Linked DNA regions of Canis lupus familiaris. The protein of the gene in region 1 interacts with the protein of each later gene in a biochemical or structural test. Links are inferred from orthologs where the notes say so. Each region holds a gene or a part of one and is shown in the gene's direction. Other genes may lie near its edges.

Region 1 (4,318 bases):
ATCCTGGAGACCCGGGATCGAATCCCACATCGGGCTCCCGGTGCATGGAGCCTGCTTTTCCCTCTGTCTGTGTCTCTGCCTCTTTCTCTCTCTCTCTCTGTGACTATCATAAATAAATAAAATTTTTAAAAAAAGAATAATTATGTTTATAACACTAAAATGCTGTCTTTCGAGAAAGATTCAAAGGCAACAAAAGAAACAGAAGAAACTTTAATGAGTGTCTACTAGAGTCCCAACCTTGTGTTAGGTCCAGACCTATAACAATTTGCAATGTAAGGAACTTCATCCTCATCTTAAACTGGTACTTGGATATGACATTTTTAAATGTACTTAACCCCTGTTGGTCCCCCCAGGTGCCTTCATGATGAGATTTCTGTAATTGTTACTATTATCATTGTGACTTGTTATCTTTAGGGTATTCTCAAAAGGAACTGCCTCCCTGTTGGAGCAGAACTTAAGAGGGAACAAAGGTAGGGAATTGCTAAAACCACTATTGCGTATGCCGTATACCAAGTTCATTAAGGCGTACTACTAAAGATCTGGTCTCATTTTTTATGCCTCTATCATCCTCATTAATTTTTCTGCTGATGTAATATCTGTTTTCCAATTTCTCCCCCCCCCCTTCCACGTGCAAACTTGCGACGAGAAGCCCCAGTTTGGCAGCCCTCCAACCGACAACCCAAGAGGTAGGGGTAGCCTCAGGTTCAAGTCACCTGAAGTACGTCTGGGGGACGGTGAATCCAGAAAGCAGGCGAGCGGCTACGCGTCTGCCCAGAGGCTCGGCCCCAGCCTGGAGACCCAGACCCCGGGAATGAATAGAGGGTCCACCAACTCGGCGGCTCTCTGTGGCCGCACCCTTGACTAGATCGCGGAGCCGATAGGGATTTCCAACACTCCCCAAGTTTCAACTCAAGTGGTCTCTGAAGCTGCGTGTGCCCCAGCTTCGAACGTCTGTCCGCCTGTCGGCGACGTGGCCGCGTCGGGGACGCACTCTAACCCCCAGGGTCACCGAGACGCCTCCATTCCCTCCCCTGGCCGGGCCCAGTGCCGGGCCCCCCAGCCCGCGGCTTCTCCTCTCCGCGTGCGGAGGGAGTCCGCCCCCTCGCCGACCCAGCCGCACGCAGCCCAGCGCCGCGAGGGGCTCCGGCGCTCCTGACACCGCCCGGCGGCAGGGCGGAGGCAGGGCCAACGGCGGAACCGCCCCCAACCGCCTCCCGGGCCCAGCGGGCGGGCGGGTTGCTGGGGCGCCTCCACCTCCTCTTCCTAAAGCGGCGAGGCGCCGAGGAGCGGCATCACTCGAGCCCAGGTCCCGGCTACCGCCACACGGTGCGCCCAGCGTTCGGGAGGAGGAGCGGCGGCGGAGGCGGCGGCAACAGCGGCGGGCGGGCGCCAGAAAGGTAGACTGAGCCCCAGGCAGCTGCGCCGCCAACCGCCCAGAACCCCCAGCCCGGGGCGACGCGCCACCAGCTCAGTCACCCCACTTCTGTGTGTCCTTCCAGGCCCCGGTCGAAAAGCCTGGGAGGGCCGCCGAGCTACCCCCGGAGGAGGAGCCAGTCCGAGCCCAAGGCGCCACCGCCACAGGAGCAGTGCAGAGCAGTCTTCGCCTTCATGGCCCACTCACCGGTGGCTGTCCAAGTTCCCGGGATGCAGGTGAGGAAGCCCAGGCCGCCTCCGCCGACCACGTGACTGCCCCAGAGCCCGGTGCGCGGTCCCCGGTGACCAGAGGCGGCCCCGGGGCTCCCTTGAAGGCAGGGCCGGGCGCTGGGGCCAGGTGACCCGGGAGTCGGGCTCGAAGCGTTTTCCGGCGGCGTTTAGACCAGCTGGTGCATTGCGCGGGGAGGGGCGGGGAGGGACCCGGCGCGCGCCGAGGTGCGGGGGGGGGGGGCGCGGGCGGCGGGGGAGCATAAAAATAGGCCAGATCCAGACACCTGCGCCTGCGGAGCGTGGTCCGCCTGGGGACTGGAGGTGGAAGGTCTTAACTTGAGAGAGATGGAGGTGTCTCGAATTTGTGGGGTAAAAAGCAAGTCGTGCGCCACCCCCCGCACACACACAAGTTGGGGTGGAGCAAGACAAGGGGGTGTCGGTGGCGGCGGTGTTGAATTGGGCTCTTCCTGTGTGCGTAGTGCGAAGAGCGAGGTGGCTTCTCTTCGGTGTTGCTTCTTAAGGGCGAAGTTCTATCTCGCTCCCCCACCTGGCCCATCCCATAGTGTGGCTTGAGAAATGCTGCGTCCTTCGTCTGAATGGCTGAGGTGATGACTCCCCAGCCCCCTCCCCCTGCCTTTCCCATAAGACAACTGTTCATGTGGTTAAAGGAAGCTTTTTGTCCTGGACAAGGGACTACTGCTTAAGACCCATCTTCTATCTTGAGATTTACCCAGCCCCCGCCCCCCATTACATTTTCATTTTATTCAGGAAGAAAGAAGCGATGTTCCTACACTTTTTACGCGGTTACGTATTTAAAGTGGTGCATTTCAAGCTATCTACTAAATGTTATCCAGGTCTACTAACATTTAAGCGTTCACTTTTTTCCTTTCCTAGATAGCCTAAACAACCCATTTATGAGCAGATGAAAGACTAGAAACACTAAAGACTCACTCAGTCCCTCATTAGCTTCTAAAAATGTAAAGCAGATTTTTTTCAAGTTCAGAAAAAAACGTTTAGAGTTGTAAATAGCTTATGTTTCTAGTAAAACGCTGTGGATTGGGGCCTCAATATACTAATTGATGCATGGAATTCATCCTTTTTTTTTTTTTTTTTACCGACTGGTCATGTTTTATGCATGGTCACAAAAAGTAATTTTAAAAATACTTTCCCACAAAAGGACCATTTGTGTGGGACATATATCAATCCTAGGACTCCTGTGTGTACTAAGCACCAGGCCTAAGCACCAGGCCTTTTAGCTGAATATAGGGCAAGTCTGTGTTGAGTCCCAGGAAGTCGGTTTGTATTTAATAAAAAGGAGAAAGAAAGAAAAAGGGAAATGAGAAATATTCGGGCTTTTTAAAAGATTAATCCATTCAGCCTTTACAAAATGCCTCAAACTTTTTTCTCAGACCAACCCCTTCCCTCCCTCACTCATTCCCCCATCCACCCAGCCCCACAACCCATTCATTCAGTCTGCCTTTGATTGTGTAGCAAGAGATTAGTAGTTTGCAGTACTAACTCCGATTTTGCTCTGTCTGATGTGGAAGAAGTGCGAAATACTTCTCACCGTGCTCTTCTTTCCATTCTGCGGGGAGTAGAACGGTACAGATGGAAAGTTTGTCCCTGAGGGTCTCCATGCTTCTGTCTCCATTGTGTGCGCCTGCGTCAGCAGAGAGCGTGCCTCCTGTTCATCAAGTTTGTGACTCTGGGGAACTCTGTGTGCTGGGAAGAAAATGGTTTCTGGTCTTTATTTCATTTGTCTTTATTTGATTTATAGGGTTTAGGACCCCCTTGCCATTCAGTGTTTCTTATTGCTCCCTGCTTTAATTATTGGAGTTCCCTATCTCTTGAATTTTAAAATCTTCATTAAGGTGGTTTAGTATGTGAATCACATCTTAATTTACAACTTCTGCCTCTTACTGTATGCCTTCCCAAAATTGTGGTTACTTAGTCCCACATAATTTGGGGAGGACAGTCCTCTCCATATTAGCAAAGAAGAGAGGGATACTTGTCACTTTCTCCATCTTAATGAAATGATAAATTCTTAACTGTTTATTTCCATTTTATTTGTAGGTGTGATTCTTAAGCATTTGATGCATCACAAAAGCTTTCCACAGTAAAAATTGCACAGTACCTTAAAAATAAATTTGATACATGCAGTGTGACTCTTGAGACTAGACTACTTTTACTATTCTTTTGTTCAAAAATATTGCAAATGAGATGCAGAAATATATGCACTTGTAAAATTCTCAACTTTTGTTCAAGAGTTAGGAGCAACTTTTAAACCGAGAGTAGTAAGAAAACTCAAGTTAGCCATGTGTTCTTGAAATTAATGTATAGTATTTCCACAAATCAGGGTGAAGTGGTTGACTGGCCTATAACTTTTTAACAGTTTATTTTAGAGAATTATGAAGATTGATGGAAAAAATGATTTTTCCAGAAATAAAAACAAAATTACTTTATCCACAGTGTTTTTCTCCCCCTGAGGAGAGACATGAAGTAGAAGTCGAGCTACCTGTTCTATCACTTAAGACTTCAAGCATTCCTGACTTTCGAACAAAGAAATTTCTGTTGCCACTAGTTTAAAATAGAAAAGAAACTTGGAGTGACGAAAGAAAACCCAGGATTTGGTCCAGTTCAAACTCTTCCTTATGAATTAGTTATTCCAACTCGT
Region 2 (4,592 bases), on another chromosome or scaffold:
AGAGAGAGAGGCAGAGACATAGAGAGAGAAGCAGGCTCCCTACAGGGAGCCCAATGCAGGACTTGATCCCAGGACCCCGGGATCATGCCCTGAGCTGAAGGCAGATGCTCAACCACTGACCTACCCAGGTATCCTTCTTGACTGGACTATTTCAAAAGCCTTCTAAGGAGTCTCTTGGCTGAAACCATCAGGTCCTTCAGGCTGGGCATTACAGCCTTTGAAAGTTTAGCCCAAGCCCTTTCTCTGCTCAAAACCCTCCAAATAGCTTCCCATCTCATGCAGAGTGAGAAACAAAGTCCTCAGTTTGTTCCATTTGGCCTCTTTCTCCCCTCCCCTCCTTCCGTGCAAGTGCCTTGTTGGGCTCCCTGGTGTCCCATCTCAGTGCCTTCCTCCTTGCTGTTCCCTCTGCCTTTCCATACACAGAGCTCTTTCTTCTTGTAGCTGCTCCCTGCAGGAGCGCAGTAAGTAACAGTATCTTCCCTTCTCCCCCCTCCTTGGCCTGTGTTGTGTGTCTCCACAGCCCTGGAAACCATCCGATGCCACTTGCATACAGTGGTTTATTTGTTGATTGGTTTGTTGCAGGAGCAGGGCCTGTTTTGTTCACTTCCCCACCACCTAGGACACACGGGCTGGCACACAGTGGATGCTCAAAAACGATCCATTCAATCACAAGTTAAGAACAAAGCCACAAAATGAAACAAAAACCGTACATGCCTGGCATTTCTAAGTAGAAGACTCTGCTGTCAGAGCTTTGCAATGCATTAGCTCTTTCATTCTCATAAGCCTATGGTAGTGTGTGTGTGTGTGTGTGTGCGTGTGTGTGTGTGTGTGTGCGTGTGTGTGTGTGTGTGTGTGTAAAGGAACCCAGGCATTGGGACAGGAAATAATCCACAGAGTGGGGCTGGAGTTTAAATCCTATTCATCTGGATCATTCCATCACTTTCTGCGCGCGCTCTCAGAGGATGCTAAATGAATTGATCTGTCCCTCCCCAGCATGAAAGAATCCATCTACACAAAATCGGCCCTTGCTTTTTTAGGAAAAAAAAAAAAAAAAAGCTTTGCTAACAGCTGAGTAACAGCTGAGGAAGCGGCGGCAGAAGGCGGACCCCGGGTTCCTCCCGGAAGCGCGCGGAGCACCAGCACGTGAGCGGCAGGTGGTAGCACCGCGGGCCTCCCTCCGCCGCGGCTTTCCTGGCGCGGCCCCTCCGGCTCCGGCCGCGGGCGGGGACCCCGCTGTCCCGAGTCCGCCCGGCCGCTGGGGGGCGCCCGAGGCGGAAGGGGGCGTTGCGGCACCGCCCGACGTCGCGCCTCCGGCGGCTGCGCAGTGCGTACGTCAAAGCCGGGCTCGGGCCGGGAGCGCGGAGCGGGGAGCGGGGAGCGGGGAGCGGCGCGGCCTGGGAGCCACCGAGCCTGCGGGAGCCGGCGAAGGCGAAGGCGAAGGCGGCGCGGGGCCCCGCAGCAGCAGCCGCAGCCGCAGCCGCAGCCCGAGCGAGCGAGCGAGCGCAGCAGAGCGGCGGCCGCCGCGGGAGCCCCTGGGCCGCCGTCCGCCCGCGCAGCCGCCGCCGCCGCCGCCGCCGCCGCCGCCGCCGCCGCGGGAGCCCGTCGCCGGGAGCAGGAGCGGGCGGAAGACAACGGAGGGGCCGAGCGCCCGAGCCGCGCCGCGGGGACCGAGCGAGCAGCCCGAGGCGGCGGCGGCCGAGGACGGGGACGGCGACGACGCGGAGGCGGAGAGGGAGCCGCCCGGCCCAGCCCCGTGAGTGACCCCCCGGCCCGGCCCTGCCCTGCCCTGCCCGGCCCGGCCCGGCCCGGCCCGGCCCGGCCCTGCCCTGCCCGCGGCGCCGGCCCGTCACCGGGCCCGGGGCTGCCTCCATTTTCTCGGGCGGCGGCGGAGGCGGCGGCCCGCCCTCTCTCCCTCCCTCCCTCCTCGCTCGCCCTCGCCGGCGCGGCGCGCAGCGGCCTGCGGCCCGGGGCTCCCGGGCCTCCCCTCGGCGGGGGGCGGGCGGCGGCGGCGCAGGCGGGTGGGCGGGGAGGCGCGGGCCGGGCCAGCTGTCACTCCCGCTGCGGCCCCGGCCCAGTCCCCGGCCGCGGCCCCTCGCCCCTGAGCCCCGCTCCGCTTCCTGTGTGACACGGGGACGCGGGCAGCATCTTTTGTGATCCTCCTTTCGGGGCGGGGGCGGGGGCGGGGGCGCCTCCCTGACTTCTGGCTGGGAGTCGTGCGGCCGGAGCCTTCCCGGCTTCAGTTGAGCCAAAAGCCGAGCGCGGCGGGCGGGCGGGCGGGCGGGCGCCGCAGCAGGTCCGCGCCGGAGGGATTCAAAGGTAACCCCCCCCCCGCCCCCGCCCCGAGCAGCTTAGCCTCTGCCGTGGGGGAGATAAGCCCAGCACACAAATAACCTCGGTACCAGCGACGAGGCGATAAGTCCTGTGAAAGAGCTACAAAGTGCTAGAAAGGCACCCAGGGAATGACCGGACCGGACCCGATCGATCGATCACTTCCTTCCGCCTGGCAGAAATCTGGAAGGCTTCCTGGGCGAGGCGGTGCCAAGCCGGGCGTGGAAGGCCCCATGGGGTTTGGAAGAGGACGGGTGGGGACCCGGCGGTATGTGGAGGGGCAGCAAACCCAAAGATCACAAAAAAAAAAAAAAAAAAAAGGCATGGTCTAGAAATAGTGGGTAATTAGTTCAGTTGCCTGTGGCCAGTCGGGGAGCGAAGGGGTCGGGCTCCCGAGGTGCTGAGGGGCCAGACGCTCGGCTCCTGTGTAGGGGCTGTTGGAGCGGCTTTCTAAGGTGGACTGAGCGCTCATCGCCCAGTGACTCATGAGCCCCGGAAATGTAAGCTGGGAGATCTTAAAGGCGCTCTTGGGAAAGGGAGAGGAGGAGGGAGGCCCAGTAGAGAGTCGTCGTTCTGTGCCTTGAACATAATGCAGCTCGAGATCGATTTTGACAGCTACAGATAAATTCACGTCCAGGCCAAGCGAAGAACCTTTTGCAAAAAAGCTTCATTAGATACCGGGCTCTTAAGAGGTAAGGGAAAGATGCGCACGAAATAAGCTCCTCTGCACGGAAGGCGTTTCTGTTGGTGCGGTTCACTAAAAAAAAAAAAAAAAAAAAAAAAACGCATCAAAACTTCTTCCACTGTGTGTTAGGTGGCTACGCTTTGGAATTACTGAGCTAAGCGTGACTTCTTTGAAAGGGCATTTTGTAAGGGCAATCTAAATTGATGACTTTAAAAAAAAAAAAAATCAGGTTGTTATTAATATTCCGGGGCGGCAAGTTGGGACATAGAACCGTTTTTATGGAAAGGTAAACATTTCTTCATTAGTTTTTAGTTATGAAAGTGTAGGAGAGTGAGAAATGAAAATCTAGCTTGATTTTTGTACATTCCACCCCCCCCCCCCAAAAAAAAGATTACTAGCAGATAATTAGCTGTATTTAAAGTCTAGAATAGATGATTTGTGGAAGCAGCTTAGAACTCATGTTCGTTTCTTAAAACACTTGTTTGTTGTTTGTTTCTATGATCCGTGAATGTCAACTTTTTTCAGTCAAGAAAACCTTGTAAAATGCAAGAGGTCCTGGAAAACATTTTTTAAATGATCTTCTATAATCTTACCGCTTAGATTTGGTTGCTTTTAACATTTTTGCATACTTCCTTTTCAGTCTTTTTATGCTTATTTTTTTCTTGCATGATGAAATAAAAACTGCATGTATGTATAAATATTAACATTTTTGTTCATTGAATATCTTTATATAAAAACATTTTTACCCGAGTAAGGAAAGTCTTAAGCGTATTCTTTTTTTTTTTTTTTTTTTGGACAGGGTTGCATTTATTTATCTCAGATAAAATGCAGTAGTCACGCTTAATAACTGCAATGGTGGGCAGAACTTCTAAAGGTGTCTTGTTTGAAGTATATTTATTAACCTCTTTGTAGGATTTAGGTCTTATTACTTATTGAAGAAAGGTTTTATTTGGGGGGGGTGTCAGCATCAGATATGGAAGAGATTACACATTTCTGCTTATATGAGTGGATATACTTTTTAAAAAAAACATGTACTTTCTAAAAAGATTTTCTTAGCTGGTATAATATCTCCCATACAGAGTGATTTATCTCCCCATCTCCCCTAACCCTCCTCTTCTAAAAAATAGTCTTTATACTGAGGCTATCCGTATAGATTAACTACTTTTTGATCATGACGTTACAAAGATTCAATATGTAGTTTTTCTGTTGGCGTTTCTTTAGTAAAATATAAAATTTGGTGAAATAATTGCTGCTATAACAAAAGGAATTTTGTTTTGTTTCTCATTTCAAGACAGTTCACTTTAGTTCATTAGCATTTCAGACTACAGGTTCTTGTTTAAACCAGTTTTTTTTCCCTTTGCTTTACATTCTAAAATCTATTAGTGGGATCTCGGTTTCTGTTTCTAATCGCATATAAAGAGATGTTGAGTTAGATTGTATAAACTTTCATAAAGCTAATATAAAAGAATAGTTGGGATGCCTGTGTGGCTCAGCGGTTGAGCGCCTGCCTTTGGCCCAGGGCATGATCCTGGAGTCCTAGGATCAAGTCCCACATCCGGCTCCCTGCATGGAGCCTGCT

Evidence for each region.
Region 2: the proteins of STK26 (region 1) and CAB39 are reported together in a solved structure, tested with the Homo sapiens proteins (2 studies listed by IntAct, with this or other methods). The link is inferred for Canis lupus familiaris from reciprocal best matches to the Homo sapiens genes STK26 and CAB39.

The regions. Positions count from the first base shown.
Region 1 is NC_049260.1:103,879,442-103,883,759, forward strand, and holds the start of STK26 (serine/threonine-protein kinase 26), read left to right. Parts: upstream 1-1,233; 5' UTR 1,234-1,397; intron 1,398-1,499; 5' UTR 1,500-1,608; coding exon 1,609-1,650; exon of another isoform or gene 1,651-1,815; intron 1,816-4,318. UniProt on the Homo sapiens protein: Serine/threonine-protein kinase that acts as a mediator of cell growth. Modulates apoptosis. In association with STK24 negatively regulates Golgi reorientation in polarized cell migration upon RHO activation.
Region 2 is NC_049246.1:42,900,539-42,905,130, forward strand, and holds the start of CAB39 (calcium-binding protein 39), read left to right. Parts: upstream 1-1,624; 5' UTR 1,625-1,753; intron 1,754-2,855; exon of another isoform or gene 2,856-3,085; intron 3,086-4,592. UniProt on the Homo sapiens protein: Component of a complex that binds and activates STK11/LKB1. In the complex, required to stabilize the interaction between CAB39/MO25 (CAB39/MO25alpha or CAB39L/MO25beta) and STK11/LKB1.